2 linked regions of the Oryzias latipes genome follow. The protein of the gene in region 1 binds, or shares a complex with, the protein of each later gene. Links are inferred from orthologs where the notes say so. Each region holds a gene or a part of one and is shown on either strand. Other genes may lie near its edges.

What was found.
Region 2: the proteins of kpna4 (region 1) and ranbp3 are in contact, whole or in part, in a crystal structure (PDB 5XZX), measured with the Homo sapiens proteins. The link is inferred for Oryzias latipes from reciprocal best matches to the Homo sapiens genes KPNA4 and RANBP3. Residues at the interface, in NP_002259.1 of Homo sapiens: Arg96, Leu99, Ser100, Asp102, Arg103, Pro105, Phe133, Trp137, Thr140, Asn141, Ala143, Ser144, Gly145, Thr146, Ser147, Thr150, Glu175, Gln176, Trp179, Gly182, Asn183, Gly186, Asp187, Asn219, Trp222, Val225, Asn226, Arg229, Asp261, Trp264; in NP_015561.1 of Homo sapiens: Asn114, Tyr115, Cys116, Pro117, Pro118, Val119, Lys120, Arg121, Glu122, Arg123, Thr124, Ser125, Leu127.

Annotation. Positions count from the first base shown.
Region 1 is NC_019871.2:13,519,266-13,535,385, forward strand, and holds the start of kpna4 (importin subunit alpha-3), read right to left. Parts: upstream 6,087-16,120; 5' UTR 5,925-6,086; coding exon 5,856-5,924; intron 3,904-5,855; coding exon 3,859-3,903; intron 3,714-3,858; coding exon 3,624-3,713; intron 2,182-3,623; coding exon 2,152-2,181; intron 2,017-2,151; coding exon 1,964-2,016; intron 1,280-1,963; coding exon 1,184-1,279; intron 877-1,183; coding exon 791-876; intron 558-790; coding exon 471-557; intron 383-470; coding exon 213-382; intron 1-212. Other genes in the region: arl14 (ADP-ribosylation factor-like protein 14), read right to left, coding at 7,714-8,022, 8,250-8,564; ppm1l (protein phosphatase 1L), read right to left, coding at 13,065-13,408, 15,449-15,610. UniProt on the Homo sapiens protein: Functions in nuclear protein import as an adapter protein for nuclear receptor KPNB1. Binds specifically and directly to substrates containing either a simple or bipartite NLS motif.
Region 2 is NC_019875.2:30,537,591-30,553,751, forward strand, and holds the start of ranbp3 (ran-binding protein 3), read left to right. Parts: upstream 1-5,766; 5' UTR 5,767-6,025; coding exon 6,026-6,056; intron 6,057-6,116; exon of another isoform or gene 6,117-6,352; coding exon of another isoform or gene 6,353-6,383; intron 6,384-7,276; coding exon 7,277-7,332; intron 7,333-7,602; coding exon 7,603-7,639; intron 7,640-7,726; coding exon 7,727-7,804; intron 7,805-7,901; coding exon 7,902-7,973; intron 7,974-10,233; coding exon 10,234-10,299; intron 10,300-10,449; coding exon 10,450-10,542; intron 10,543-11,261; coding exon 11,262-11,371; intron 11,372-13,104; coding exon 13,105-13,221; intron 13,222-13,388; coding exon 13,389-13,489; intron 13,490-13,562; coding exon 13,563-13,638; intron 13,639-13,713; coding exon 13,714-13,810; intron 13,811-14,632; coding exon 14,633-14,787; intron 14,788-14,865; coding exon 14,866-14,986; intron 14,987-15,785; coding exon 15,786-15,928; intron 15,929-16,161. UniProt on the Homo sapiens protein: Acts as a cofactor for XPO1/CRM1-mediated nuclear export, perhaps as export complex scaffolding protein. Bound to XPO1/CRM1, stabilizes the XPO1/CRM1-cargo interaction. In the absence of Ran-bound GTP prevents binding of XPO1/CRM1 to the nuclear pore complex.

The sequences.
Region 1 (16,120 bases):
CGCACAAACTGGTACAGCTAAAACCTGTCATTTTAATCTTACTCAACCATCTCCCTTTTTAAAAGAACAGATCTATTTCTAATTGTTGCGGTCTGTATGGGCTGTTAAAAAGAAACATGTTTTCAGCAATAGTTGGATATAAAAATTGCGACTCTAAAATAACACCATGACACACAGATCCCATTACGCTTCATCTCTTTGTGGGTGCTTACCTCCTGGATTGTTTCCATGGGTGGTGGAGGGTCCTTGTGACGGCAAAGGTTGACCATGACCCAGGTGACATTGCGGAGGAAGGTAATGGGGATGGAGGGGCTGATGAATGACAGCAGGGGCTTAACCACACCAAGGCTGATCACATAGTCTCGGCACTGAGGACCATCCCCTGCACAGAACGGGTTAACAAAGCATGGGAAATTTGGATTAAACACTCGTATTAGACACTCGTCAGATCAGATTAGGCGGTTACTCACCGATGATATTACCCAGGGCCCAGACAGCCTGTTCACAGACATTCTGGTGAGGAGAGTGGAGCAGCCTCAAGAACAGCGGAACAGCATCTGAACAAAACACCAGGAACGAAAATGTGAGCAAAGGCTCCAACAAATGTGCAACTCAAGAAGAGGCTCAAACTTTCTTATCAGAGCATCTACATCTCAAAAGAAGTGGTCATTCAACAAAAAACAGCTATTTATACTCAGCCTGTGTATCTACCAAGAAAATTCATTTTAAACAAACAAAAGATCTGACTAAACTAAATAAGTATTGCGTCTTTAAAAACAGTGGCACTTACTGGACTGAACCACAGCCTGGGTCTGCTCTGAGGTGCCAGATGCTATGTTGGTTAAAGCCCAGGCAGCTTCAAACTGGAGAGATGGACTAAAAAACACAAATAAGACACCAGGATTTATCAGAATTGTGACTGCACAAGTGAGTGGGAGAGGGCAGGGGTAAATTACAGTAAGAGCATGGCGATGAGTCACCATTACTGCAAGGTACTGAGGAGAAAAAAAGGCTTCATTTACATAACAGCAATATGATTAAAATGCAGAGTGGGCTAAACCTCACTTATTGGAATAACTTAATGCACCAAGCTAGACCATTAAAACATGTTACTTTGAATCAGCACAAATGCCTAAAAACAGTTATATTCTAATGCAAACAAACAGAACTACAGCTTGCTTACTTGTCATCTCTGTCCAGGCAGTGGACCAGTATAGGCAGGATCCCAGACTTAATGAGGTCATCTATGGGAGGATTACGGTCACTGGACAACAACTTCCTATAAAAAAAATTATAACATGAAATCAGCCTTAAAGGAAATTTGATTGTTCCAGACCAACTAATAATAAACTATGGACACAATGTAATGACACATATGTTAGTCCTAGCATCAGATATTGCCATCTGTCTCCACAGCTAAAACTCAAACCCAAGTATTAACTTTAAAAGTGACTACAAAGGATTCACAAATACACAGAACTGTTGAAGAATAAACATTGCTCATTATTTTTAAGTAGTTTTGCTGCACTACACAATTTCTAGAGGCTAGCATGACGCACTTGCATTAAATATAACGTCCATTAATCAAGAGGGTGACATGCTGTAAGTCAGGAAGAGAAAAATATTCTGCCTTGGAATTTCATCAGCAACATACTTTGGCAAAAGGAAATCAAGTGCAAGCAAAAGGCCCTCTGCATTGGTTTGCTACTGCAGAGGCTTGTAAACACATCTGTGAGCCACATGTAGGTTGTGGAAACAAAATGCCTTTTTCTACAGCAGAAATGCAGCATTAGGTGTATTACAGCATTGATGCAATGAAATATCAAGTCTTTAGGACAATGACGTATATTGCAACTATGGATGTTTTCAAATGAGTCCACCATTTGCTCCACAGAGCAAAAAATACTAAGACTTTTGTTTTGGTTAAAGTACAAACAAAAACTACAAACTAAAGTGTGTTTACCTAGCAGCCTGAACAGCACTCAGCTGGACACCCTGGTTGTCACTAGTGGCATTCTATATATCAAAGGAAACAAGATGATTAGTCAGTGAAACTGAATAAATACGTGCTTTATAAAACTGGTAATAAGGACAACAAAATTCCGTTAGCAAGACCATAAATTCCAAAGGAGAAATTAAATAGTGACTTACTTGTACTATTGCTTCAAGAGAGGTGTTTTGCTGCAAAAGAAAGTTTCCTGGAGTTATTGCATTTGAATTATGTTTCATATTTGGTGCATAAAGCTCTTAAAACACAGAAACCTTGCTCAAATAGTCTTATGATTCAAAAACAAACTAACCAGAGCAGAAAATGAGCTTGGTTACTTAACCCGAAAATGTGTTGAGAATCAGTCAGGAGGTTAAGACACGAGGCCAGTATTTAGCATGGCAATGTGCCTTCTGGCAACTTAACATGATAACTCCATAAGTAGTTCAGACTGTTTCTGAATAGGAACCTAATTGGGAGTTAGCCTGGCTGATGGCAGAGAAAAAGAAAAAAACCCACCAGATTCCTTCGATTTAGTCCAAATTGTCAACACTGAGGACAATTAGCAGTCGATTTGGAGATAAATAACAAAATAAAATAAAATTATTGGGTAAAAAGAAAGTTTATATTTGTGACTCCATTTGATGGTTGTGGGAAATTATTAAACTGCCAGTTGTATCTTTTATATCTATAATAAAACTGTGCTATATACCAGATATCATTATGTAGGTTTGAAAACGAGCACTCAAAATGGCCTGGTTGGAACTGGTGACGACAACAGAAGCTCCTCAGGCAAGAAAACAAATGAAATCCTTTACAGTTGGAATGTGTTTTTTTAAACAGTCAAACTCCGGTCTATTAAGCATTTACACTGAATCTTTTACAAACTGAATGGCCATTACAAATCACCAACACACACATTTGTATTTCACTGTTTGTGAATACTCATAAAAATAAATCGATTTCTTATAAGTATGCACACAAAGAATTGTAGAACTAGTTTAGCTGCCAAGTAACTCCAGATGCCATTCAGAGATCGTCTTGTCATTGCTGATGCACTATGATACAAGTATCACCCTGTGAATTGAGCTTTATACACCTGGCTGTTAAAAGGAACCAGATTTTTTTCTCTAGACTGAACACTTCAATGCATGTTTTATCCAACAGTCTAAATTTTCTGTCATCTGAATCCAGATCAAACACACTTAGTTCAGCTTTAAGACATTTTCTAGATTTTCATCTGTCACCCATCTATTGTCTTTATAGCGCCTCTAAAATATCTAGAAATGCTTCATTCTTTGTGCCTGTAAGTATCTTGAGCAACAACTGAAGCTTTTGTGCACATTGATCAAGAAAAATGAGTACATAGCAAGACAAACTGCACACTTTGAAACAATCTTGCCCCACCTAGTCAGTACAAAATAAAGCAGCATCCTAAATGCAAAAGTCTAAACCTAACCTGCTCAGCATCTGAAGACTTTCCAAAAATGTACAAAATCTCAGTACAAATTCAGTCTATACCATATCTGACAAGCTGTCATCCCTGTTGCTAATAGTAGTATTGCAATTCAAACATGCAATATATGGTTTTTCTGAATAATGGTGTAAAAAAGGAATATTTGAAAGATAAACTCACTGATCTGAAATCTCCATCAAGATCAGAGTCCTCACAGAGGTCCTCGTGGGGAACATTTCTCCTCTTCAGCAGATGCTCGTCCCTTTTGTTCTGTAATGAAAAAGTTAGTGAGCTCACTTCACTAATCATCCATTTATGTTACTGCAAAGTATATATAAAATATAGCTGAATATTCAATTCTGAGAGCATTCTGCAATATTAATTAAATAATGGCTTAAGTAAAGAGTTTATTTACCTTTCGAAGTTCCACGACAACCTCAGTCCTTTGTCTTCTCATCGTCTGCAAGGAAAATATTAAATTTAGTTAAATTAGGAAATTTCAACCTTCCAAACAAATTTAGAGAAATAAATGAGAATATCAGGGTACTGTGTATATTCGGGTATTGATGATGCAGGTCGTCTGGGCATTAAGTCTACAGCATCTATAAAGCAGAGGTCTGCAACTACAAATGAGTATCACAAGTCTGACTAAATGTAACTCAGCTTTAAGAACTACAGTACCTGACCGATACATCATTTTTACATTTTCAGGTTTCATTGTTCTTTTTTGACATATTTGTATCATATGCAAAAAGAAAAAAAAGTAAAATGGCAAAAATGGGAACTGCATTTTTAGGAAATGGTAGTATAGCAAGCTTTTTCAATAAAAAAGAAAAAGCAGGTTAATAGTTACAACAAAACAACATGACTGGAAGAAGACCTTAAGGATCACTTTTAGGGTTTTCCTATACAAGATTATTCATCTACCCATTACTTTATTCGATTTCTAGTCAAGCAAAACCTGTTGCAAATATTAAAACCATAGTTTGTTAGGATCCTCACTATGACCAGTTATGTCTCAATTGTGTCCACACAGTCAGTTGTTTTATTAGTGATAACACTGACCAAAAATAGTAAACATATTAATGTCATATGACAGAGATGACTTAAAATAGAACTATGAATGAGAGAAGTGATCTGGTAACCCACTAAAAACATCTTGAAAATCGCACGCACTTCCTCCCTCAGCTACCAGCTTAGTAATTACATCAAGCCAAATTTATTTCAGAAGCGGATATGTCTACAGGTTGCAGTGCATGATGTGACATTAGATGTGTTTCTATTCACGGTAAAGGTGCAGCTTTACTGTCCCACGTGGCCGCCGCCCTCTGAAACAATTCTACGTCAGATGCACACAGTGGAGGCAAAGTAAATGCAAATTGACAATGTTTGTTGACTCAATTCCTCGTGAACCTTTGCATGCATTAGAAGTTATTTACATTAAGTATTGAACCTTGGTGTTGATGCTTAAAGTTTATCATTGGAGAAACGAATTTCACGCGCGGTTCTCGAGTTGAAAGTCGAATAATTAACGTAACAATCATCGACGCCCCCCTCGCAACATATATGTACCTTCTCAAACAGGATGCGTGGTTTCCTGCGTCTGCAACCCCACCTGAAACCGATATCAATACTAGCTGGAATGCATTAACAGCTACGCGTTGACCTGACTGTAAATCACCTGGTAACTTATTGATCCGACATGATGAACCAACGTCCAGCTTTGATCTATGAATCATGTAGTAAACGTGTTAAGGGGAGACTGCTCTCCTGAGAATACGTCCTATTAACGCATAAAATAGAACTATATTACTATTGGTGTGGACTTGAGCCTAATATAAGTGGTCATGTTAGAAGCTTACTTGTTTCCGCCATTGTTTTTGATTATAAAGACGGGGGATGGGTGGAACTGCAGCCAACAGCACCGCCGCGCTAACCTAGCACGCAGTTGGGCTAACTGCAATGTTAGAAGTACGAACATCTGTCGTTGTTTTAGCTTAACTTAACACCACATTCTCAGAAGATAACGTAAAAGTACTTTGTAAATAATTGTATGCAAGCTGTTAACATTTCTGACCGAGCGAGACCGAACTGGGGGATGATATGCATCAGTGGAGTTAGCATGTTCCCGGAGGCCTTGCTAGCTGGTGGCTAGCAGAGCTGATCCAGCGGAGGCTTTTCTGACATGTTTTACACCCAACACGGTTTCGGGATAAAACGAAACCAGTTCGAAATTGACCCAACGATTCCAGCCTCCAATAAACACTGATTTCTGAAGGCCCTCGCCAGTTTCTGGCAGCAAAGTTGCCCGTGGTGTAAATTAGAAACGACGTCACAACGGAGCCGAGGGGCAAGGCTGAGCGCGGCGGCTGTGCAGACGAAAGCGAGGACACCGATCTTCGCAACTTTTACCTCCAAATCTCGGCCCTTGTTCTTGAAATTCTTTAGTCGCTGGTTGTCCAGTTTCTCGTTGTCGGCCATGTTAGTAGTTCTGATTACGTTAAATATTACTGGACAGAGTTTTAGCCGGTAAGCTATCTGTTTCTGGTTCCCTTTTCGCAGTCTTTCGTTAGTGGACTATTTTTTGCTGCTCGGTCCGCGGTGCATACTGGGAATGCCGGTGGTAGAGGGCAGCCTCGCTCTGGCGTAAGGGAAGGGTGGGGAAATCCCCCTCACTCTCATTGGTTTCACCGCTCACGTCTGTGTGCAGAAGACACCGCATTATACCGACTCACGTCTGCTCATGTTTAGGAAGGCAGACGTTTGATTCGTGATCACCTAAACTTAAATATGTCATTTCACTAAAACCCTATCCATGTCGCATCATTTCTTAAGGAGTTTTCATTAGGGAATTGTAAAATTCTAAATTCTTTTTATTATAATAAAATTATATATATATTAGATATATATATATTATATATTATACTATGTACTATTATACTATATTATATAATATATATATATATATATATATATATATATATATATATATATATATATATATATATATATATATATATATATATATATATATATATATATATATATAATGAATTAGTTTATGCTATTTCTCATAAGGCAGTCAAAATCTGAATAAAAAAAGGGAATAGGATTGCTCAATTTTGGCATAGTATTAAGAAGTAAGGCATTCTAGATCGGAGAACTGTCTTTTTTCTCTACAATACAATGCTAAAAATGTAATTCCCAGTTTCACACCATGTTGCCATTATATTCGATATTACAACTACAAAATTATCAGTAGTATCACGATTTTTATTGAATACCATTTTAAAAATAGAGCATCATGGAAAAGTCTATTCATTTGGATAATTAGATCTAAAAATTGAATATAGTGTACTGTTTAATTGATTTCTAATATTTATTTATTTTTACATAAATTTGGGTTCCACCTCATTAAAACCACGAAAACAAACTTTTAGTAAATCTGAATACTGTGGTGAAATCTGTCCAAATTCTGCGGGGCACGGATGTTTTAAACTATTTTAATCTGGACAATGTTTTCAATGGAATCATGGAAATGACTATACTTTTCCATAATATTTTATGAATATTTATATTTAACACCTTAAACCCAAAATCTTCATAAAAATTACATTTATTTGAAGTTCCAATATTAAAAAAAACATCAACATGAGAGATTTACTTTATTCATTTGGGAACTAATAAATCTGCTGTAACCTTTGTGCTATCTGAGTCACTTTAACATTGGGAGTTGGGTCATCTAGACCCCACAAGACAGTGCGCTGAACATTTTTTCTTCAATGATTTCACTGGTGTCCATGGATTACATGAAATCCTATTCACCTTAATCCACCTTTGTCATGGTAGGAAGAACACGTCAATGTAAGGATCGGGTCATCTGGACCCCACAGGAAAGCACAAGGGTTAAGTTCTCACTGATTTGGTACAAGTCATTAAATCAATATCATTTTGTTTCAGAAGACAAACACATTTTGAATAAAAATATATATATCATATATCTATCTATCTATATATATAGATAGATAGATATATAGATATCTATTTATATATCTATATATAAATGTATATCCTCAAAACCCAAAAGCTTTCCCTTAATGCTCTTGGTTTCTTATTTTCTTATTCCCAGCAGATCTTCTGCTTGTTCCATGATTTCTGGGAAGCCGCCCTTCTCCCTAACCTCTTTGAGCTCATAGATGCATCCGCTTTGCTGTCTGCAAATACGCAGCATAAGAAGACAAAAGTAAATCCAGCATGAACAAAAGAGATATCAGCTGCAACAAAAAAAGACTTTTTTTGCTGATGTGAACTTCAAGCCTTTTGCTTTCATCGTTAACTTGATGTGCTCTTGAGTCTGCCTCAGTGGAGTCTTCATCAAATACACCATTCTCCTGAAACCCTCCTCAAGCCCCATCCCAGTGACGGCTGAGCAGGGCTGAATGAACCACGCCCTTCCAGCACACACCCTTCTCAGGTCCAGTTTCAGGCTGAGGGCTTCTGGACTCCAGCAACCAGGGAGATCCTGTTTGTTGGCCAGAATTACAAGAGGAACTTCTTTAAGACTTTTGTGTCTCAGAACCTAAAAGGTAAAAAGAATAATAATAAAATTATTAAAATCAACAAAATCAAGATTTTTATTTTGTTCCCTTTTTTTGATGAATAGTTTGTAGATTTTTTTTTTTAACTTGTTTCGGAATAATTGTTTTTTAGTATTGCATTCACTGCTTCAGAAACAATAAAAATGCATATATACATAGGAACACTTGTATTTTTTTTCTGATCAAGGTTAGACATGAACTGAAATACCCGATGGAGTTCCTTGCAGGCCTCATCCTGCCTCTTCTCATCCCAGCTGTCCACCACAAACATCAAGCCAGCGGTGTCAGGATAGTAATGCTTCCAGTGGGGCCTCATCTTCCTCTGACCCCCAACATCCCACACTGTCAGTTCTGGACTGCTCCTGTCGGTTTCCAGGGTTTCCACATTAAAACCCACCGTCCGTACAGTTACCACGCTCTCGTTGTATTTCAGTTTGTAGAGCAGTGTTGTCTTCCCTGAGCCGTCCAGACCCAGCATCAAGACCTGCGCTTGTTTCTTGGGTTTGGATCCACGCGTACCCATGTTCCAGTGGAGCACAAGTTCCCTTTCAGAAAAGTTTCTTTATCCTCTTGAGTTTGTATGAAGGCTTGTGTGTCTGTGCTTTGTGAGCTTATATTGAGACTGGTGCCTTAAGAAGACCATGTGACCCCTCCCCTCTGTGACCAAATTCATGCTGTCACGGCTTTCAGGAAAGCTATTTTTACCCACAGTGACAGTGCATACATGCAGCTCACAACCAGAGAACAGAATGTAGAATCACGTCCCACGTGCCCAAAGTCCTCCAACACTGCCGCAAACAGGAAGTTCAGTTGAAACAATGGGAAGATCAAATTCCCTCCTGGCTGAATGTCTATCAGCACTAACCTCACAGCTTTGCTTCGGTGTCCCCAGCTGATGGAGAAAGGTGGTTTGATCCAAGGACTGGCACACTTTTATAGATGATAAATATTGGAAGAAAGTTGCACAATCAGTAAATCAACTATTAACATTCAATACATTATTTTACTTTTAGTTTGTACACGTAATTTGTGATGTGTTCAATTTTTGAAAACAATTCTGTAAGCTGATAAGAAATTTACTAGTGTACGAAGCAGCCTCCAAGAGAGAGGTGGCCACTTTGGTGACATGGTGTAAGGACAACAACCTCACCCTCAACACAGACAAGACATAGGAAATGATAGTGGACATGAGGAAGTAGAGGAACCCTCATCAGCTGCTGCTTATCCGGGGTCTGGAAGTGGAGAGGGTGAGCAGCTTTAAATACCTGGGGGTCCACCCCAGCCAGGACCTCACCTGGACAGTTAACACCACACAGCTGATGAAGAAAGCTCATAAGCGGCTGTACATCCTGAGGAGGCTAAGGAAGTTCGGCATGTCCACAAAGATCCTCAGCAACTTCTACAGTCCATCTTGACCAGCTGCATCACAGTGTGGTACGGCAGCTCTACTGCCATGGACTGCAAATGCCTGCAGAGAGTGGTAAAGACTGCGACTAAGATCACCAGGACGCCTTTGCCCTCGCTTCAGAGCATCTACAAACGCAGGATCCACAGGAGAACTTCCTCCATCATCAAGGACCCCACCCAACTGCAACGAGATCTGTGCACTCTCCTCCCCTCGGGACGGAGGTACACGAGTGTGAAGTGCAGGACTACAGGACTCAGGAACTCGTTCTTTCCCTCTGCCATCAGACTCCTTAACAGCTGACAGGAGTCTGGAACAACAAACAGCCCCTTTGCGCATACTCATTGTTTATTTTTTCAATTCTTACATCTTAATATTTAACAACATCCATGCGTACCACACTGTTTAGCTCATGAAAGTCTCTTTTGAACAGTTATTCTCAGCTGAATGTGCAAAACAGCTGATTTGTACACTGTACTGCATAGTTATATTTTATATCTGGTGTGAATGTTTCAGATATCCTGTAAATATCCTATCCTATCTTTTGTTTAACCTTTAACCTTATGGCATTCAGAGCGAACAGCAAAGAAAGGATCTCATTGTACAGGGAAATTCATTTCCTTACTGTACATATGACAATAAACCCCTTTGAATCCTTTGAATAACCCCCCCCCACACACACACATAACAGTTATTTTGTGGTCTTCAAATTTAAAATGTTCAATTTATTAAACTTTTAGCAGTGTATTAAAGTCATCAAAACAAATAACAAAGGCAAGAAACATTCAGTGAGGTACATCATGACATGATCCTGAAAAAAAAGCACAGACAGTTTCATCTGGAATTCATGTATTTACATCTCTGCAGTTAGCTTAGGATCAGGGACAGCTGTAATAACCTGCATGTTTGGGTGGAGCTGGTAGTCACGTGATGACGGTATTTACATTCATCTTTATGTTTCATACCTCATGAAACAGTCACTCAACACATAATATCTGAATGAAGGTACAAGATATGGGGCGTGCATCCTCCACTGCACTGCCCTGCACGATCAAATGCATTTCACCGAAAACTCACAAAATAGTTTTGGCAGAAAAAAAATTAAAAATAAGGCAACATCATGTAATTTCACCAGAATAAGACAAAATAAAACACAAATGCAGTTTTTAATGTACTGTAAAAATTAAAATGGATTGTTTTTGTCCAAAGAAAAATGTAATCAACCAGAATGGATCATTTCATTTAAGTAAATTAATTAGTAAATTAATTTAAAAAAGTTAGTTTGAAGAACTTCTAATGTTAAAAATATAAAACATATTTTATTTAAAAAATGCATAACAAAATTTTTAAAATGTTGTTCTGGGTGGTCACTTTCCTAGCCTTTAAACAAGTAATCTGTTAAAAAAAAAAGAAAATTATAAATTGTGTATTAAGTTTGTTTTTTAAATGACTACCTTATGACTTTCTTCATATTGGAAAATAATGTAATTTAAGCTTCTACAAACTACATACAGCAGGTTCTCAAACTCAATGTAATTTCATTGAAAGGCCACAACACTGCTTGAGTGATACAAAAACTAAAAAGGGGTGTTTTCTATATCATTTAACATAAAATACATCATTAAGATTTTAAAATGAAATAAATCCCTTTACGATTTAGGAAATGGTGCAAACTGACTCTTTCTTCCTAATGAGACACACGCCAGGACTTCCGCTTTTTTAATTGTAACAAGTTTAAAATACAAACATGTTTATTCAAACTAGTTTTATGCTACAAATCCAAGCAATTCCTTAATATATCTTAACGCTCTGCTCTTAATTACCGGTACGTACCTAGAATCAACCCCTACAAAAAAGGAGCATAACATCAAGGACTCTTAGATTTTGACATTGACATAAATTAGGTGAGTTGACCCAAACAAGAAAACCAGGACACGGAGTTTGAGACCCGTAAGCCTCAGTTATTAGATAAAACAATAAAACGTATAACAGAGGTCTTGAAAGAGTTTCTAGGTGAAGCAGCCTAGCTTTGAAAAACTAAAAAGTTTTAAATAAAGTGAGATTCGAAAGAAGAAATTATTAGCAGTCCTGTAAAAAAGCTCAAATTTAACAAAAAGAGAGAAACACCTGTTCTTACAATTAGATTTTCTTTATGCAAGTATTCTTGTATGAGCTCTCCAGAGAAACAAATCTCATATTTGCCGTTGATCACATAAGGCTAAATAATGACATGATTCACAATGTGGAAACAGAGTCGCCACTGCCTCTGACGAAAATGAATGATGGGATATTATAGTTGAAACCAGAAGTTTACATACACAACATAAAACCACACAACTGAACACACAACATGAAATAAAAGTAAACTTTTCCTGTTTTAGGTCAATTACAATTTGCTAAATGATAGAATAATGAGACTACGGTTTTCAAACTAATTTGTTTTACTTTGATCAAAGTCAAAAGTTGACATACATTCCATTAGTATTTGGTTCTATTGCCTTTAAACTGCAGTACTTTGGTCAAACATCTCAGATATTCTTCCACAAGCTTCTGACAAGATTTGGTAGGAATTGTGGCCCATTCCTCCAGACAGAACTGGTGTAACTGAGCTGAGTTTGTAGGTCACCTTGCATTTACACGCCTTTTCAGCCCTGACCATAAATGTTCAAAAGGGTTTAGATCCGGGCTCTGCGATGGCCACTCCAAAACATTGACTTTGTTATCTTTAAGCCACTTCGGGTCATTGTCCATTTGGAAGATCCATTTGCGCCCAAGCTTCAACTTTCTGGCTGATGTCTTCAGATGTTGCTTTCCACATAATTCTCTTTCCTCATGATGCCATCTATTTCGTGAAGTGCACCAGTCCCTCCAGCAGCAAAACAATCCCACAACATGATGCTACTACCACCCCCATGTTTTACAGTTGGGATGGGGTTGCGAGGCCTGCAGGCTTCCCCCTTTTTCCTTCAAACATAACGATGGTCATTGTGGCCAAACAGTTTCATTTTGGTATGGTCAGCCCACAGGAAATGTCTCCAAAAATTAAAGTCTTTAACCTTGCATATGTGAACTTTTGACTTTAATAAAAGTAATAAAAACTTTTCTAAAAAAAAGATATTCTCATAAATCTGACATTCAGCAAATAGAAATAACTTTTTTGCCCATTGTAATTGACCTTAAACAGGAAAGGTTTCCTTTTATTTAAAAAAAAAGCATGTGTGTTTTTATGCCATGTATGTAAACTTCTGGTTTCAACTGTACATGTACAAATTGACAGAAAAGGATTTAACAATGTAGCTTAAACCTCTCAGTCCCGGTTTGCTTTAGAGTGAAAGAATTGTGTACATTTATTTCTAAGAGAATACTGTCTTTATTTTACCTCCACTCGTTCCAGTGCACACTTACACAGTTAAAAGTGTAGTTGTTTGATGCACTCACAGGTTTGTGACACTTGTAGGGTAAAAGATTAGAAAGAGAAAAAGTGTTTTATGTGAGGTTTCAAGGGCTATCTGCAGTAAATACCTACGATATAAATAGTTCTTGTTCAAAAAGCAGCTTTAAATCTTCCACCGTAAATGAATTCAAACCATCATATATACATGCCGTGGGCGGGAGGAACTACTTTTTTTCACCACTTTTGCCTTTAAACTTCACCACCATTACGGTGATGTTGTCAGGGCAACCTCGATAGAAAGACTGGAGAACAATGCTCTTGGCGCCAAAGTGCGGCTCATCTAGTCTATCCTTGATGAAGCGAACTGCCTCCTCATTGCTGAAAGTATCCCAGAGGCCGTCTGATGCCAGGATCATGAACTGAGGCTGCAGCTTGTCCAGGTCAAAGGACATAACGTCTGGGTCAGAAACGACCACGTTCAGATTCTTCAGCGGGTAATCGCCCAGGGAACGAGACATAGCCAGGATGCCCTGGACGCGCCATGAGCCATTGAAACTGATGAATCCACCTGCAGAGGAAACAGAAAGACGGGATAAGAAACAGAAGGAGAGGAGTGAGTCTAAGATAGAGAGTAAATAATAATTTTCCTTCATTTTGAGACATAATGAAATAAAAATACAACATACGTCACAACAAAAACTATCAAATACAATCAGGCATCAATTAACCGGCTCCTATCTCAACAAGAACAAAAGATACATCTTTATAAAAAATGTCACGTATTATGACGTGTATTGCATATATAAAGTAAGTATTCATGAAAGGAACTTCACTATTTATGCAGAAATATAGCTTTTTTTCTTCTTTATCAAAACTATTTCACAAACATATTTATTTAAGTGATGTTTTACGAATTAAAAAAAAAAAAAATCGATGTTTCTGAAACACCAAACTCATATGAGCCTTTATGAACCAATGTTTTAAATGAAGTGAAAGAGTTGTTATGCGTTTCTGAATAAACTAATGGAATACACAGCAATAAATGGTAAATGGAAGAGGTGTTACTATTAATCATTTAATCGATTGGTTAATTAATTGATTTTTACCACTTTCATAAAAGACTCAAAGTGCTTTACAGTAAGTCCATACATTCTCACACTGGTGGCATCTCCACCGCCTTACACTGGTGCCAACCTATAATCACCAGGAGCAATGTGGGGTTTAGTGTCTTGCCCATGGACACTGACACATGGGTGGGCAGGACAGGAACTGAACCCGCAATCTTTCCGATCAGAGGTCGACCAAATCTACCTCTGCATCAAATACATTTTGGTACAATGTGCTTGACAGTTTTTAACTATAGTGAAAAGGTTTAGGACTGTGAAAAAAAAAATCCTTGTAGTGGGTGGTGGCAGCGTCATGATGGGGATAGTTTCATAATATCAAGTTAGATTTAGCTTAAATATTTCTTTGGTGGATAATGCTTAATAGCAAAGTTGGACAGTGGCTTTGTGTTTCGTTTTATAACATTTTTGATTTCTATGAATTACTTTTGCCGTCCGAAATGTCCTCTTTTCTTTTTTACAGAAGCCGGAAAAGGCGCTATGGGACATCGCTGATTGGATGATGATGTTTGTCCATTAATTCAACCGAAATTTATTTGAGATGAAGCGATATTGCATATCATTATCCAATCAGTGATGTCCCATAGTACCTAGCTCTTCCGGTTTCTCATTGTTTAATTTTTTAAAATTTCATTTTGTTTTCTGGAAATTACTTTTTGTTTTTTCTTAAATATTGTTTTGGTTTTTTATGTTTTAAAAAAAAAACATTTGCTTTGCTTTATAATTGTCGTTAGGATCTCTAACTCATTTTTGCTTCGAATGATTTGTTGATATGATTTGCACTTCAGGGCCACCGTAGAGTTGAGACTTAAAGGTAGTCTAAGGCAAATGTGACAAAAACACATTTATGGTAAAACTTCCAAAATTAAAATGACAATATTAAAGTCCATAACTTCTCGTTCTCTGCTTTTGTGTAGATCTGTCTCATCACAAAATGCTCAGAAAACGTCTATCCATGTAATTGTAAGTGAAAATTTGGAATTAGCATTTGTATTCACACAGCAACATGTTGGAAAAGGGACAAACTAATTTTTCTTTGTTTGTAGGAGAATTTAGGACAGAAGATGAAGGTTTTCACTGCAAAAGCATTGCCAGTACCACATTTGCTCAATAGGTGGTGATGTTGAGCTTCCATTCAAATGAGTAATTTGGCAATCTGCTTTCAACCTCCTCAGCAGAGCAGGTTTGCAGTATGGGCTGGAGTGAAATTTGTGACACAAGCTTCAAAGCATGTGCATTTCCTGGTTCCATTGGATAACTCTGCTGTAGAAGCTGACCGTCAGTGAATTATGAAGACAGCTCAGGAAACACAAAGTAAGAAGAAAGGATAACTATTATGAGCTTTGATCACAAGAAAAAATATTTTTGCCCTTTCATAACATAGGTCTGTTATTCTCTTATGTTTTAGCTTTGTTCTTCAGCTCAGTAAAAGATGAAAAGCATAAAAAAAGGAAACTCAATCAGCATTGTAGGAGCTTTCTCACCGGCTTTCTTGATCCTCTTGCGTTCCTTGAGCTGGTACGGTTTATGGTCATGCGATAGAGGAATGGCTTTCCCATTTTTATCACACAAAACTCCACGAGAGTCTCCGACGTTAGCCACAGTCAGCTCTTTATCAGAGAGCAGAGCCACCAGACATGTAGTGCCTGAAACAGAGAAGATATATGCGAAAACCAGAGAGGGAAACACATGAGAATCATGTGGATTTAAGGACGGTTGAACGATCAAACTGTATTAATAATAATAGGGAAAAAAAATATTTTGAATGTTGTCTTGTGGAACTATAAAAGTTTGCCATATTTTCATCTGTCTATGCTAAATCTTCTTCCTCTTTTGGCTTCTCCCATCAGGGGTCGCCACAACGAACAAGTTGCATGGTAAACTTGGCAACGTTTTACACTGGATGCCCTTCCTGACGCAACCTTCTCAAACCAGGCTTGGGACCGGCACAGAGGTAGAGAAGAGAACAGGGAGCAGCCCAGAGTTGAACCCTGGTTTCATGGATGGAAGGCGCCGCAAACCAGCACGAGCTAAACCGGCTCCCTATGCAGCTATGACAAATAATTATTTATAAGTGAATCATATTAGAGTTTAGACAAAATGTAGTAGTGTGAACCGATTTTTCTAAAAGACTTAAGTTTTTTAAAAATGAAAAC
Region 2 (16,161 bases), on another chromosome or scaffold:
TAGACCCCAACTCCATCTGGATGAAGATCCTCTGCTGGACTATTTAAACATGTAGTTGTAGAGTTAGATAAGCCAATTCTCTCTATGAGTTCTGGTACATGGCCTGTCCGTCCTGGGGGAGGATCCCTCCTTCATGTGGATACCCCTGAGGTTTTTTCTGTTCTTTTAGGAGTTTTTCCATATCTAGAAGGAGGGTCTAAGATCAGGGACGCCAGTTTAGTTTAACAATCAGCTGTGGTATTTCAGAACTGATATTAGGTTTTGTACATTTTGTGAAGCCTGTTGAGACCACTGTGATGTGAAAGTGGGTCATATGCAGTACAGACCAAAAGTTTGGGAAGGCGTGTCCAAACTTTTGGTCTGTACAGTAAATAAAACTGAATTGAAATCAGTTGTAAAGATGAGGATGGATAGGGTCAGACAGCAGAGGGTGGAGGTGTGAGGATGACTCTGATGGTGAGGAAGATGAAGGGAGCAGAGCAGAGGACCAAAAGGTGGAGTCCTATGAGAGTTTTAGGGTGGAGGTGAAACTGACTTTGGGAGATTCTTTCAGATGACTGAACATTTGTGAGCAACATGGTTACATTCAGAGGACGAGAACCACAGATTAGTTTTGAAGATCTTTCTTGAGATGATCAGAGAAGGTCAGAAGGAGTTTATTGGGTCTTTGTAGATCTGGAGAACAGCTACAACGGGATCCAGGGACAAGCTGTGGTTTGGATGGGGAAGTCTGGAGAAGCAGAAGAGAACGTTAAAGTTGTTCAGCACATTAATGAGAGCTGGAAGACAGCGGTGAGATGTTGTGACAGTTGAAGGTGGAGGTGGGACCACACCAACAACCAGCTTTGAGCTCCTTCTTGTTTGCTGTGGCGATGGAAAGACCGACAGATAAGCCTAGACAGGAATCTCTGTGGATCATTAAGTTTGCAGATGACACCGTGATCTGTAGTGAGAGCAGTGGAGGAACATCCAGTGGCTCGGATGTAAAAACGGGAGGCTGAGCAGGAGGTAGCAGTGATGAAGAGGCTGAGGTTCTCTCAGGATGGATCATTGAATCCATCAGAGGATCATGGTAGATGTTCTGGAGATCCATGCAGGGAAGCAGGTGGAGATGTTTGGACACGATAAGAGGATGATGTTGGTAAAAAGATGTTGAGGTTGAAGCTACCAGGAAAGAGGAGGTTCATGGATGTAGAGGAGGATGTGTGAGGAGCATGCAGAGGAGGATGGAGGTGGACGGTGCCTCCTAAAGGGAGCAGCTAAAGACAAACCCCCAACACAGGCTGCATTTCCAGATTCAGGAGATGCAGTTCTTCCTGTTTGGTCCTGACATCAGCGTGATGTGTTGTTTTTAGAGGAGTTCCAGCTCCCTGGGATCTCACCTTCTTCGAGGACATTTGATAGTGCGGCTCACATTTGTGTTTTTGTTAACACAATCTGCCAGGTTGCAGTGAAGCAGCACGTTAAAGTTTTTTCGCTTTCAGTGCCGTCGCGGATCAGAGACAAACTGGTTGCAAATTCAAAACACTGTTCATGTTCTCTCAGAGGATTGTGGGAATGCATTACAAACGGCTGACAGACTGGGTTTGACATGATTTATTCACCTATTGCTTCAGCTTCATACAACTCTGGTCTTGTTTTGTTTGCGACTTTAACCACAGCCACAATAAATAGAAAATTTATTGGCAAGACAAACTGCATCTTCTTGTGACGAATAGAAATTAAAACTATCGGTGAAAATCCCCATTCTTGGCCTGCATTTCCAAAAAATCCCAAAGGATTAATCGCACTTTCATTTGTCAGAATAGTTGATGGTCCGCCGCCGCATGAAGATGCATTGTGTGGCCGTCAGCGCTCCTTTCAGACAGAATGAAGTGGAGTTTTATCGTTTAATGAGTGTTTGAAAGAAGGAGCCATTCATCAGACTGTTTTTGGAACAATAAGGAGTAAACTAAACAAGTAAAGAGCTGCAGACTGAATGAAGGCGCTACTTTTCATCACATTGGTGATTCATCACTGTGACCTGTACTCATGAACTGGACGGCCTTCTTTGGCCACACAGAGATGTATATATATATATATATACCAGGGACTCATTGGGGAGGCTGCATGGTGGTAGAGTGGTTATCACCCTCAGCGAGGAGGCCCTGGTTCAAATCCTGGCTGAGTCATTTCTGAGAGGAGTTTGCATTATCTTCTCTACCTGATGCTGTTCTGAAGAAGCTGAAAATGAAACCAGAACATGTTGTTATTTGGAATCTGTTTGAATTGTTTTAAAGGTTGTGTTGTAATCTGCCTCTTAGCCAGGACTCCCTTCAAAAACCGATCTGCAGATCTCAGATGCTTTCCTGGTTAAATAACGGGTAAATAAATTAGGATTTGCAGACTCCCATGCGGACACAGCAAACTTTGTTTCATCATAAAATAATGAGGAGATCCGTCCTTACAGCCCCACTCAGATGAAAATTGTGTTTTTGGTGTTTGAAAATGTTCTTGAAGCATGTTTATGGTGACGGAGGAAGAATATAGAGACTATGAATAATAAACTGCATTTCTGAGTTTTTCTTTATTCAAATCGTTGTGGATCTGGAGCAGACGAAAAAATGCAGTTTGAAAAATATCCTATTTGTCACGTAGAAAATACAGTGGGTGGAGCCACAGTCTCCCTGCCCCGCCCCTTTCTGATCCTCCACCTGCAGACCAACAGATCCATGAACGTCTTTGTTTTCCTGGTCCGAGCTGGAATCGACGGATGGATCTGATGTTGCTGCTGTTTTTGTTGCACCGCTGATGTTAGGATGGGGGTGTGGGGGGCTGTAAGCTAGCAGGAGAACATGTAAACAAAGAGATGATGGGAAGTCAGGGAAGGCTTACTCCGCTCCAACAGTCCTGCCCACAACTCAGAGGTGAATTTGAATAAACTCCTGCCGCTCTGCAGAAACTATGTCCTAGAGAACGACACAGTTTTTTTTTAATTTTTGCTAAAAACGTCAGAATCACAATTAAAAGGCCACTGGGAACAATTTTCTTTTGTTGCTTGGAAATGTCATCTAAAATATTCATGCTTCTTTGTCACAAACCCTTTTTATGACCTCCTAATCCATATTTTTACATCAATAAACACAAATCCCAGATGATTTCACCCTAATTCACCTGTTTTTAATCCCATGATTTGTCTTTGTTTTCTGCTGTCCTGCACATCCTCAGACACACAGATGGCTTTTTATTGTGTAACAGAATGAATTAGTGAGAGCACTTTAAAAAAAATGTTTTATCTCAGGAACATAATCTGTTCCTGAGCAGCTTCACCTGCATCAAGGTGAACTACCTTTCTAACACTACAGGCCTTAAGTCAAACCTGAAGTCACCCCACTAAGCCACTTATCCGGCATTGTGCAACAGATCCCTGAGGTCCAATATCCTCCAAAATTCAATTAATGCCCCTGATCCATTTGCTACATCCCCTTATTCCTGGGGGTTTGGGGGGCCAGGAGCTTATTTGAACAGATACTGAGCGAGGGCCCCTCCCCGGCCGGCTGTCCATTAATCACACAGCAACATGTCCACACAGCTGAACAAACACACGGCGAGGTTAGGAGAGGGTCCTGCCACACGGGGGTCTGGACGAAGCGTCTCCTGGAGGGATGATGGAAGACGGTTCTTCACGCGTGTTCCTGTAGGTTTTGAACTTTCTCCTTCATGTGGACTGTAGTTACCGGGGATGAGTCCGGTCTGGCAGCTGACCTCTCCATAGACCTCAGAACCAAACGGGAAGATTCTGTTGATTCCCAAGGAAAAGATGCTATCAAACACAGTGGGGGGGGGGGGGGGGGGGTGTTGTTTGTTTCCACTGAAATCCCCCCATAAGTTTCATCTTCAGGTATCTGTTTCAATACTGTGAGAAACAGAAAGAGGAGCTCAGAGTTCACCGAGCTTCTGGGAATGTCATGCTGGAATGTCTGCTTTCCGAGTGGTGGAAGGTTAGAGAGCTAATGCTCCTGGCTCGCCCCCAAAATGACTGTGTACGTTATGTAACGAGGATGTCAAAGGCCGGTGGCTCCGCTAATGGAAGGCAGAAAAAGAGAAACTGTTACGGTCTGAAGTACAAGCCAAGCTTTGCTCTGCAGCACACATCACAAACACATGCAGCAGCTTGTCTGACTGCAGCCTGGGGAACTTCATGAATTCATCTGTCAGGACATTTCTGTTAACATGCTTTGGTGCAGACAAACACAAAAAACTCTGCATCAAGCCTTTTCTTCACCAGAAGTCGGCCATCAGACTGAAGTGCTTTTCTTCTGCTTTTTACTGTTTTGTCTTAATTTATGCAGGATTTTAGAGTGTTGTTAATGTCTGATGGAGGTGTTTTGACAGAAAGAAAGATGAGAGCGTGTGAGAAGTGGAGAAAAGAGGCTCAGACATGAGCCACACCACTGTTTCAATGGAAGTATCACAAAACAACAGAGGGCTTTGAGTAAAGGTACTATGTAAACATTTATGTAAAAACAATGAATTCACGTTTTATTCTCTACTTTTATGAATGGTTTTAGGTCAGCAGTGGGGTCACGTGGACTTAACCCTCCTGGATCTACCTAAAGTGAGGTTGTCCTCTAGTGGCATAAAACAGGTATGTCATGCAGATTTGAAATACATTTGGGTGAATCTGACATCAAAACTGGGAAACATTCGTGTAAATCTACTAAACTCCATATGCTGATGAACTGAACATCATTGTAGCTCGATGACAACTTTAGGAAATCACACTGTTATTTACACAATCAGGGAAAGAGACTCTTCTGAAAGGAGACGGTATATGAAATGTGTATCAAAGCATTTTATGGGCTTTTTAAAAATGTCTTTCATAGAGTCCTCCCCCCTCAGTGAACCACAGTCAGATCCAAACTGTTTCAGTAACTTCACTGCAGAAGTGCTGCCATGTTATTTCATTTTTCTTCTGTACAGTTTTGGATTTGCTTCTTTGTACTTTTTTTCTGTAAATGTTTTTCAGATTATTATATCTTGTAATAAATCTTATTTTCCGTCATATTTTTTGCACATGTATATGCTGTGTGAATGATGAAACACAAAGAAAAAGACAGGAAACAGCACGGAGTCCCAAATGCAGCATCGTGTTCCTCATGTGGTTCAAATGAACAACTACAAATAGGAACAGACACCAAAACACCTGAACCAGGAACTCCCTCCAAAAGTCTGGATAATTTAACTCAAATTGAAAAACCAGGTTCAGAAAACTTTATTAACAGAAATGTTCAAAACAAAGTGGATTGTTGTGTTTAGTCTCTGCTGGTATTTGTAGGTCATTGATGTTTTTTGTATTTGCTGCTCTAGGATAGATAGACATAATTTATTCCAGACTCATGGTCCAATCAATAAAAAGGAGTTCACAGACCCCTACATTAAAAAGGCACCTTGTCAAGAATACACAAGTTGAGGTACAGTATATGAAAAATTACAACAGTTGATAGTCTAACTGAGCTCGCAGACATTTCTTTTCCATTTTGGCCCTGCGGTTCTTTCTGGGACATGTCTTCCTCTCGCAGGGCCCCTGCGGTGTGGCCCTCGGTCAGAGGCCCCGGAGAGCCGGCTGCAGGCTGAGGCCCTGCTCCGCCGCGCGGCTCGTCTTATCTGCGCGGTGGGTTGTGGGTGTGTGAGCGTCGAAGTAAAATGGCGGACTTGGCAAACGAAGGTGAGTAGGTAGCAGAAACGGGGAAAAAACGCGCCTCCGCTGCGGATTTTCAGTTTGCACACAGGTGCTGCGCGAGTAGGGCGAGCGGCGAGGAGGCGCTCTGTCGCCCGCAAATGTTGATCGTCGGAGAAATGTCGCCCAGGAACGTTTTGAAAAGCGAAACGATAGCAAACATGCTAACAATGCTAACGCCTGGGCTGAGGCTAATTCCTGGATTGGCTGTTTGTCACTAGCCGGCTTACCCCCCCACTGCGAGCATTTGGCTATTAATAGCCACTTTCTATTGGCATTTGTGGACCCGCGTATCTAACCTGCCGGATGCTTTGTCCCAAACGATCCTCCACATTAAGTACGTGACCGTAAGCACAGGTTCTGACATCACCGGTCTGCCCGGTACAGAGCGCGCAGAAGGACGTCGTTGTGTCTGGCTGATCGGTCAATTTGCGGAATCGAGAAGCGCTTATTTAGGCGGGTAGAGTAAGAAAGCCCCCCCACCCCCATTATGCTATGAGTTGTTAACAGTTTGCGGAAGAATGGCCGTTAATTTCACGTAAATGCATTTGTGGTTTTCGTGAGTCTACGGTGTGTCTACAGTTTTAGCGGCTCTGGTGGCGGGAGTTGTAAAGGAGAGATGACTCAAGCAGGATGAAGCGAATTAGCAAGCTAACCATAGCATGTAAGCTACTACATATGCACAGCTTTGTAGCAGTGGCGGCGTCTATGTGCTGGAAAGGGTCAGATGGTTAAAAGTACTAGTTGTTAGCATCCGCCGGCAGCGTCTTCTTCACGAATGACGGAAAATAGACGCCGCCGCCGTTCGTTATCGTATTTTCCCCGATGAGCTGTAAATGTTTAGGAAGGGGATTTACAACACTTGTGTGACCCACATTGGCAGGCTTTGGGTTTAGAACAGTTTCCTCGTTAACGTCATGAACCGCGGGGCTGTCATGAATGTGCGGGATGCCCAGTCCCGCGCAGCCCGCTGGACAGCCAGGCGGCCTGTCACGCATGCTTTCCCGGACAAAGCTCGCGGCGGGGACGCTACACCTGCTCCGAGTATAATGGGCCTGGTTCGGACGGAAACCTTTGTCTGGTGTCGCTGAACGTGAGGAAAGTGTTCCGAAAATCCCCCAAAGTTTGCGTCTGTCATACACATTTACATTAAGATGGTTGTTTTTAATTGTTTTCCCATATTTCATCCCGAGCTTCATGATCTGGACCCCCATAGGGTTGAATGTTCTTACATTTAGTCAAACTGGGAGTTTATTTCTGTATTTGTCATGAAATGTTGGTGGTTATTTTTCCAAACATCTTCACAAACCCTCCTATTTGTTGTTCTCTTGGTCCAAACTTCTGAAATTCCTGACTGACTTTATATCTGCTTATTAATATTCTGCTCATCTTGTAATGAATGTTGAGTCAACAATTGGTTGATCTTAATGTTCACTGGCTGTCGCCTGGGAACCACTTTTTAATTTATTGTAGGTAATTTAAACGTTAGATTTCAGTCACAGCGGCTGGTTCAGGTCCTTGGTGCTTGGATGACCAGCCTACCTCTCTTCTTGACAGACAAGCCTGCCATTGCACCTCCTGTGTTTGTTTTCCAAAAAGATAAAGCTCAGAAGGTACGTTTCTTTATGTTGGATGTGTTGATGTCATATTTTATTCTTTGTGATTTTGTTTTGTTTGGAACAATGCACACCGATGGACGAGCACATACAGATGGACCACATGTGATAGAGTTAAAACTATCTGAACAAAATAAAACCCAAATGATCATGAAAGTTATTTAATCCATAAAGATTCAAGAACAAACACAAAATGTGGATTTCTCTTACTGGTTTGTTTGCTATTTATTTTTACCCATTTAAATATGTTGTTGCTCTCTTTGACAGCGATCTGCAGAAGGCTCGAGTGCAGAGGATGGAGAAGGTTAAGAAGATTTCTCAAATAAACGTCTGCATTTACTGTGTGTCTCTATAACTTGATTGCTGATCCTTTTCTGGCTACAACTTTCAGATTCAGATAAAGATGAGGGAAGTTATTGTCCTCCTGTGAAAAGGGAAAGAACCTCGTCATTCCCGCCCCCACATTCTGGTAAGGACATTTTGTAAATAAGCATGGCCTTTTCTTTTTCTGGTTTTCACATTATGCATGGATTTGTATGCTGACGGCGGTGTCTGCTGCTTTGCAGTTCCCAAGAACAATGTATTCATGCCCTCAAGTTTCTGCCAGTCGCCCACTGGGAATTCAGACTCTGAGCCAGGTGAGAAACGCAGGCCTTCAGAAGGTCCACTTTTCTCTTCTCTCCTGAATAAATACTCTTTAGCATAGCCCAGCCTAAGAAAACACTTATATATCCACGTAATGGTAACACTTTCTTGGTTCAAGTGTAATATGTAACAATATCTGCTTTGAGAGTCGTGGTTATCTGCAGTGTTTGTGTTGAGTTTGGTGAAAGGCTGGCATGTCTGCTCTCTTTACCTTAAAGCTGTCAATATTTCCTTAAGTAATGGATCTGATGTCATTACTGATGGATGATTGTAACGTAATGCTGATGCGGAGTTCCCTCGTTTGTCATTACAGATGCGTTCTAAAACGAATCAATTCAATTTTATTTCTATGGCCCAAAATCACAACAATGGGCTTTGTACCGGTAATTGGAAAGTAAACATAAAACCAAAAGGATCATGAATGCATAGATTTGTATAGGAAATTTCTAAACTGAACTAACTAAACGGACTAAAATAAACTAAACTAAGCATCCCTGACCTTAGACCCTCCTTCTCTGTAAAGAAAAACTTCTAAAAATAAACGGATTCTGGAAAAAAGGAGAAACCTCAGGGGTGTCCACATGAAGGAGGGATCCTCCTTCATGTGGAATTAGCTTATCTAACTCTACAACTACATGTTTAAATTGTCCAGCAATCAGTAATGAACAAAATCCACAAAGTAGGATTATTCTATATGTTTTAAGGCAGTAAAACTCCTCACTACACACTATAGACTTTTCTCAGACAGACATTCTCACACATTTCTCTCTTGTTTAAACTCAAAGTTCAAACCTTCACAGATGAATACGAACAGTTTTAAAGAATAAAAACACAGAAGTGATCATGATTGAAGATTTATTTTTATGCAGCAAACTGCACGGATTCTGAACAGAAAACACCTCACCGAGATTGATTGACATGGTCTACAGCCAATCGTGGCGCAGAAAAAATAAATAAATAAAATTACACAGAAAAAAAATCTGTTAGGCGAGAAAATGTAATGTAATTCTTTTTGACAACTCATTCATTTGTTGATATTAGGGGTGGGTATCGACGAGTCTGGCGATGCGTATCGCGATACATGTGAGACTTGTTCTCATCTGGAGCCCTCTAAAAATCACCACAACCTGCGTTTTTATATGGCAACAACGTGGCACAGAGGTTCGGTTCGGTACCCATCCCAGACGCTTAAGGACGGTCATCAATAATTAAATAAATGTCGTCTGGACAGCATTTTAAATCGATACAAAAATCGCAATATATCGCCAAATTGATTTTCCCTACATCCCCAGTTGATATGAACAGAGAATATTTAAAAGCCAACAGGCTTGATATTTAACCTAAGGATGAGTAATTTGTAGAACAAGACTGTAGTTTAGGAGGTTTTCCATGCATGAACAGAACAGACGTCTGCCTGCAGAAGAGTCTGTGCTTTTGGTAAAATCCAACATTATTCATGTCACATTTCACTGCTTTAAAAACAAAAGTACAGAGAAAAAACACACCAACAAGATCACGTGATTGAATGATTTACATCAACAGATCAGACACACTGATCAGCACCAATTCCTCCTGTAAATCGTTTTTTTTACAGCTCTGGGGAGCTTCTTTCTAAACGTTGTTGGATTTGTGTGTTTGCACCGTCAAACTGCCCGGTAGGATGAGGAACCGGAGTAAAATCGGGTCATTTGGGAGTTGGATGTAGGCCAAATTTTTAAAGCTGAATAAACAGCAGGATGGTATTTATTGGACGGCGGCAGATCAAATGTGACCACATAAAAGGGAAACGCAGCATTTACCACATTTCTGTGTTTTGCAAAGTACATTATGTTTGTTGCTCCCACAAAAGTGTTGAGTACAAACCACTTTGGGGTCGTTATCTGCCCGTGTCCTGCCAGCTGAATGTACACTCCACGTTAACCTGATGGAGCGTTATTGACCACCGACCTGTACCAGGCCTGACTGTTTTTCCTTTGCTGTGGCGCTCTCTGCTTCGCCACAGATTAGAGCAGGTCATGCAAGCTAATAAAGCCAGAGAGTTGGCAAGACAAAAGTAGAAATAGATCCGACGCCAGAGAGGCTGCCATGCCATTGCACAAGAACTGGATTGCTACACAACTCATCGGCCTCTCTTGAGGTTGCTGTGGTAACTGGACCTGTGGTTGGGGAAGAACATGTCTATTATATGTTACTGTGCTATTCTCCACTAGTTTTTCTCCTGATTTGTTTTCTTCTCTCATGCTGTCTCACCAGAAGAGAAACCTGTGGGATTCCGCTTAAAGCCACCGACTCTAATACACGGACAAGCCCCCAGTTCAGGTAACCTCATGCTCTACATGTGTTTACTAGCATAGAAAGTACTTTGACTTCCAACTTACAAACGTCACACAGATCCTGCAAAAAGGGGGAGGGGCTAGGTTATGTATTTATTGAACTTAGACATCCCAAACATCCCAATCTCTGTTATAGGCGTCCCAAGTCAGAAACCCAAGGAACAGCAACGCAGTGTCCTCCGCCCCGCCGTTCTCCAAGCTCCACCCTCCAAATCACATATAGAGTCAAGTGAGTACATTTTACACTTTGACTGCATTAAACAGTAAAATCCCTTCTAGCCTACACTCAGTGTTCAGGTGAAGCTCTGCACTGTATTTCTGAGGGGAGTTTGAGAATGTGCAGCATATAGAGCTTGTCCGTAGTAGATAAAGAAAATCTTATTCATAAATTAATGATAACCGCTGATAGTCAGGCCTTTTGTTCAAATAAAATATACAAGGAATTTAAAAATGAGTTTATCCTCACAACCTGTGACCTGTGACACTCGCGTGTTATGACAGTGCTTTAGAAGTCAGCTTAAGAGTGAAGACTCAAGAAAAAAACATCTTCTAATTATTAATGAATGGCTTTCAGGTTACTGAACATTTCATGTAGGCTCTATTAAAAAATGTCCTGTCGTTAACTTAATCATTCAAATATTTCCCCAAATCGTCACGTTTCATTAAGTTTTTATTCAAGTGTCGGTAAAGAATAGATTGGTGCCGTGTTAAATCAAATATTTTCTAAGTATTTGGCTATCTACTACATCTGTAAAGGTCATAAGTAAAATGTCTCTTAGTGGAAAAACCAGAAACTTTTCTAAAAAGTAGTGAAAGATGGTTAAGATGTTCTCAAAGTTGCAGAAAGTCATGCTAAAGGATTTCAGTCTCTGCAGAAACTTCATTCATTGATGGTCAGACTCTGTGAAAACGACGGTGGTCATTTTAACATTCCTTCTACGGTTTTAGATTCCAGTTGTGGAACCAATGGCGTGAAAAAGACATCAGATGGAGCGTCTGTGACTCCGTCGCTCTTCTTGAATAACAAAGATCATTCACCCCCATCGGCCAAGTCACTGGTGAGACATGACTGCTGTTCAGTTTAGTCTGGGTCTCTTCCTCTGGGACAGTCTCTGTTAAAATGTGCATAAATGCTGACTAACCCCCCCCACAAATCAGGTGCTCAATGGGGGGCGCTGTTGTCCAAAGCTCGCTCTGACCACACCCAGAAAAATCGTAAAAGAGAAAAGCAGCTACGATGCATCGGAAACAGATGACACCATAACCATGAACGAAGGACGTGTTTATGTTTTTACAAAATGTCTTTAATCATGAAACAAAAAGTAACTTTTACAGATTTGGAATGACAGTATTAGATTATCGGGGGAGTTACGTTCTAAAAGAACCAGCAGTAGGAGAAATCTGTGAAGAAGAGATGTTTTAAGGCTGTAAATCTACACACTTTTCTCTCATTTAAACTCTCAAACTACAGAGTAAAAAAAGGTCCAGGATTAGAGAATGAAAACAAAGATCTGATCCCGATGGAAAATGTCTGTAAATGTAACAAAGTGGACGCATTCTGCACTGGAGACACGACCATTGACAAGGTCTAAAGCCAATCAGGATGCAGAACACAGCGCCCTGTAAAAAAACAAACGTAAAGTTTCAGTGAAAATAAAACCGCTCCACGGGGAGACGGTTTAATTTGTTTTTTTCCCCTTCCTGCTTCTCCCTTTAGGGGGCGCCCTCTCTGCATCCTCCTCTCTCTAGCCTTTGCCCTCGTTTCCTCCTTCTTGCACCTCCTGGTTGGTCCACCTGGACCTGAATTCCAGCCTCCAGGGTGGCAGCTGAGCATGAATTCAGCCTGAAGAGCGTGATTTAAAAAGTAATATAGAGTCATCCATGGAAGGCTTTAGAGCTAAAACCTGCAGAGCCGTCTTCCTTAAGGGGGTTCACTCCTCAGCTGGTGGGACTCCTCCACTTTCACTGCAGTTTTTTGCAAATGCTGTTCAGTTCTGACTTCTTTCCTCACAATAACAAACCTGGAAATACTGGAACACTGGACTCGTGTTAACGAGCTAAAACCCCTTTTCTGTCATCTAATGTTCCTAAATGTGGAGTCGAACAGAATCTGTTTTCTGCTCCGATCTTTATTAGCTTTATATTGGGCTCATTTATATGAAAACATGCTGATTTCCTCCAGTGTCCTTGAGCCAAGTCAGGCCCTGTTGGACTGATGGGGCCATCAGAAGAAGACAGTCAGGAAACCTTGGCGTCTTTGTGGAAGTAGAGCATCTAAGATGTTAGCTTCATACAGCATGACCTTCATGTGATCATGAATTTCAGTTTCAGCGCTAAATCATTCATGCATAACTTAAGAATCAACCAGGAATCCTACAGACTGAGGAAATAAATGAAGACGAATGCGTGTTTGCAGCTGTCCAAGGAGGCAGATGTTTGTTTATCTGGACTTTTTCTTGTCATCCAAATGATTGGAGCATTCAGGACTAATGTTTGCTTTCTAAACCATCAGTAGTCTTAAAAAAAAGGATAATTTCTGAAAAATGTTGGTACATTTTCTGACTGTGATGAAGATCCTGAGAGGAGGATGAGTTTGTGGAACCAGTGCTTTGTGGTTCTGGGGTGACAGCAGGATGGAGTTAATGATGGTAGATTTGAGAAGAACTGCCATTGGGTCCATTCTGGCAGAACCACACCTGCACTTGAACTGGGTTCTGAAATGAAAACTGAGACTGTTTGGTTTTAAGAGACTCTGAACAGAAATGAATCCTGATGCTTTTTCTGTTTTTAGAAACCTGAAAATCAGGAAGATGGAGAGAGTGGCAGCAAAGATGAAGACGGGAGAGAAAACGAGAAATCTGTAGCTCTATCGTTTGTGTTTGGTCAGAATATCAAAGACAGAGCAAAGGTGGGCTGTTTGTCTTTCACCTGTAAACCTATGGGACACATTGATGTTGACATACATGCGTGTGGGTTGTTTATTTTAGATTTCCCTCTGAATATTGGCATGTATGACACACATGAATGTGTCCGTTTGTGTGAATAAATCCCTAATGTTTCTTCTTCATCCAACAGTTGGACAACAGCAGCACAGAAGAAAACTCAAAGGATAGTTTGCTACCGGACTGTCAGTCAGAGAGCACAAATTATTTCTTACAGTACATCTCCACCCCAAGGTGAGGAGGTCTAACTGTTTTTATGATTCTTTTATTTGAAACTCTAACCGGCGTGTTTTCATTCCCACTTCAGTTCAAAAAATGCCTCAAACAGTGGAGAGAGTGGAGCCAAGTTTGTGTTTGGGCAGAATATGTCTGAACGGGTTCTGGTGAGTGTTGCTCCGCAGAAAAACTGCGCTTTGCCTCAGAAGAAACCCGTGTGATGATGGCTGTTGTGTTTCCAGAGTCCTCCTAAAGGAGAGGCATCCAGTGAGGAAAGTAAAGATGTTTGTGCTGCTCCTGCTTCAGAGTCTCCCTCACAGGAAACAGCCACAGACAAAGGTAGGAAAAGCCTCCGCTGTCTGAAAAGATGCTGCATGTATGACTTCATCCCCGTCACGGGCCTGACGGTTCTGAGGTCATGTGACTGACCACCACCACACGAACACATGTCAATTACAGGATCCTTACCGATCACCAGAACTGTAGGGCCAGTGTTGACGTTCTTCCAACTACCGTTAACGCCATCGTTAGCATGAATCAGCTGATTCATGCTAACGATGGCAAAGCATCTTATCTTGATGTCGCTGGCGGCGACTCCAGTGTTTAGAGGATTCACAGGATTTTAGTTTTTCCTAAGTTGGTCGTCTTCCATCATCCTTGGATCTGTTTTCAAAGTGGTCTTTTCATCGGGAACATGCAGTTTTTAGCTAAAATCTAAAAACTCAGATCGATTTTCTAGGACATCGTTTCTGCAGGGCGGAGTTGTGGGCGGGAAAGTTGGTGCGGAGCAACCCTGTACCCCCCCCTTCCCTGTGTCTGTGGCTGAGAGCTCTTTGTTTACAGCCCCTCACACCCCCAGTCTCATTAGCGGTGCAACAAAAACAGTGGCAATACTGTAAAAAGTGGATGCATCAGAAAGGGGCGGAGCTGGGAGCTTGTGGCCCCGCCCAGCGTATTTTCTGCTTCACATGCATTTTTTTTTCATATGCGCCTGTTTCACAACGATTTACAGAAATACTGAGAAATGCAGTTTTAATCTTGTCTTTATTTCTACCATCAGAAAAATGCTACGAGAACACATACATTTTTCATTGGTGTGGATCTAGAAAGATGCTTTCATGTCCGTCTTTGATCTGAAGTTAAACTCTTGTTGACCTTCAGATGAGGCTGAACGCCCTCCTGTGTGTGTAGTCAACAGTGTGTCCGAGTCCCTGGAGGAGTCTGCAGCAGCTTACACCAAAGCCACAGCCAAGAAGTGCGTCTTAGAGAAAGTCGACGTGAAAACTGGAGAGGAGTCAGAAAGCAACGTCTTGCAGGTGAGAAGCGCTCTGGGGTGGAAGCCCGACTGGACTGCAGACCCTGATGCAGGTTTTGTTTGTTTGCCTTTGCTGCAGATGCAATGCAAGTTGTACGTTTTTGAGAAGAAAGCTCAGTCGTGGATAGAGAGAGGTCGAGGGCTGCTGAGACTCAACGACATGGCCTCCACAGAAGATGGAGCCCTACAGTCCCGCCTAGGTAAACCTCTGGCAGAAGTCAAGGGAGCTACTTCCAGAGGGGGTTCGGACTTTACCAACAAATTCTGACTCTTGTTAGTAAAAATATATAAATCCAAAAAATGCAAAGACAAAATAATGTAAAAAATGTCTAACATTAGCTCCACTGAAGTAGTAGTGTTCCAAACATTCATTCCCACCAAATAACTGTCATAACATATTTCAAAGCTGAGACCCTTTTTGAGACCTTCAGCGTAAAAGTTTTGAATGAAAACCATACTAGGGGGTGGGGGGTGGGGGTCATTCCTACACCCTCATGATGTAGGATTGCTGGTGTGGTGCTGGGCGAAGCATCGGTGAATCCAGAAACCTCTGAGGGCTCAGACCCATGTGTTGTTGTAAGGCCGGCTGTGACCAGCAGGGGGCGCTGCAGCGAGACCCATCCTGCCTCAGAGATCAAACGCTCCTTTACAGCCTGATGGTTGTGGGCCAAGAGCTCAGAGCTGGTTCTCATTACAGAAAGAATGAATGTTGTAGTAAGGAATGAAAACAATTTACAAGTAAAGCTTTTTACTTTAGTGATTTAAAACCTGATTATGTCCAGTTCAAACCATATTTTAGACTTCAAGGTGATTGTAAATATTCTTTTTGTTTAACTTTCCCTGACTTATGTCTAGCTCACAGATTACATAACAGAAAAATCCTCCCGACGGTTTTGTGTTTTCATTGAGAGTCAGAGCTCTTAAACATGGACTAACCTCTCCAGCATGTGGCGGGAGGATTTCAACACTCGTGTCTGTTTTTGCATGCGCCTCTGGCAGTGATGAGGACCCAGGGCAGCCTGCGGTTGATCCTCAACACCAAACTCTGGCCGCAGATGCAGGTGGACAAAGCCAGCGAGAAGAGCGTGCGAATCACTGCCATGGACACGGAGGACCAGGGCGTCAAGGTCTTCTTAATATCGGTGTGTGGATCTGCTTTTGGTGGTTCTGGAGGATTGGATTTGGAAAAATAGATCGAATCCGCTGATGTTTGATGCCGTTTGACATGAAGCTCCTCCACCTTCAACCGCTTGGTGGTCGGAGCTTCTGTCCATGACAAACACACATGTTTGACATCACACTGGCCTCAGATGCATGCAGGGCAGTGAGGCCATGTGATTCACGTGTAAGAGGCGGTGTCATGAGAACACGCATG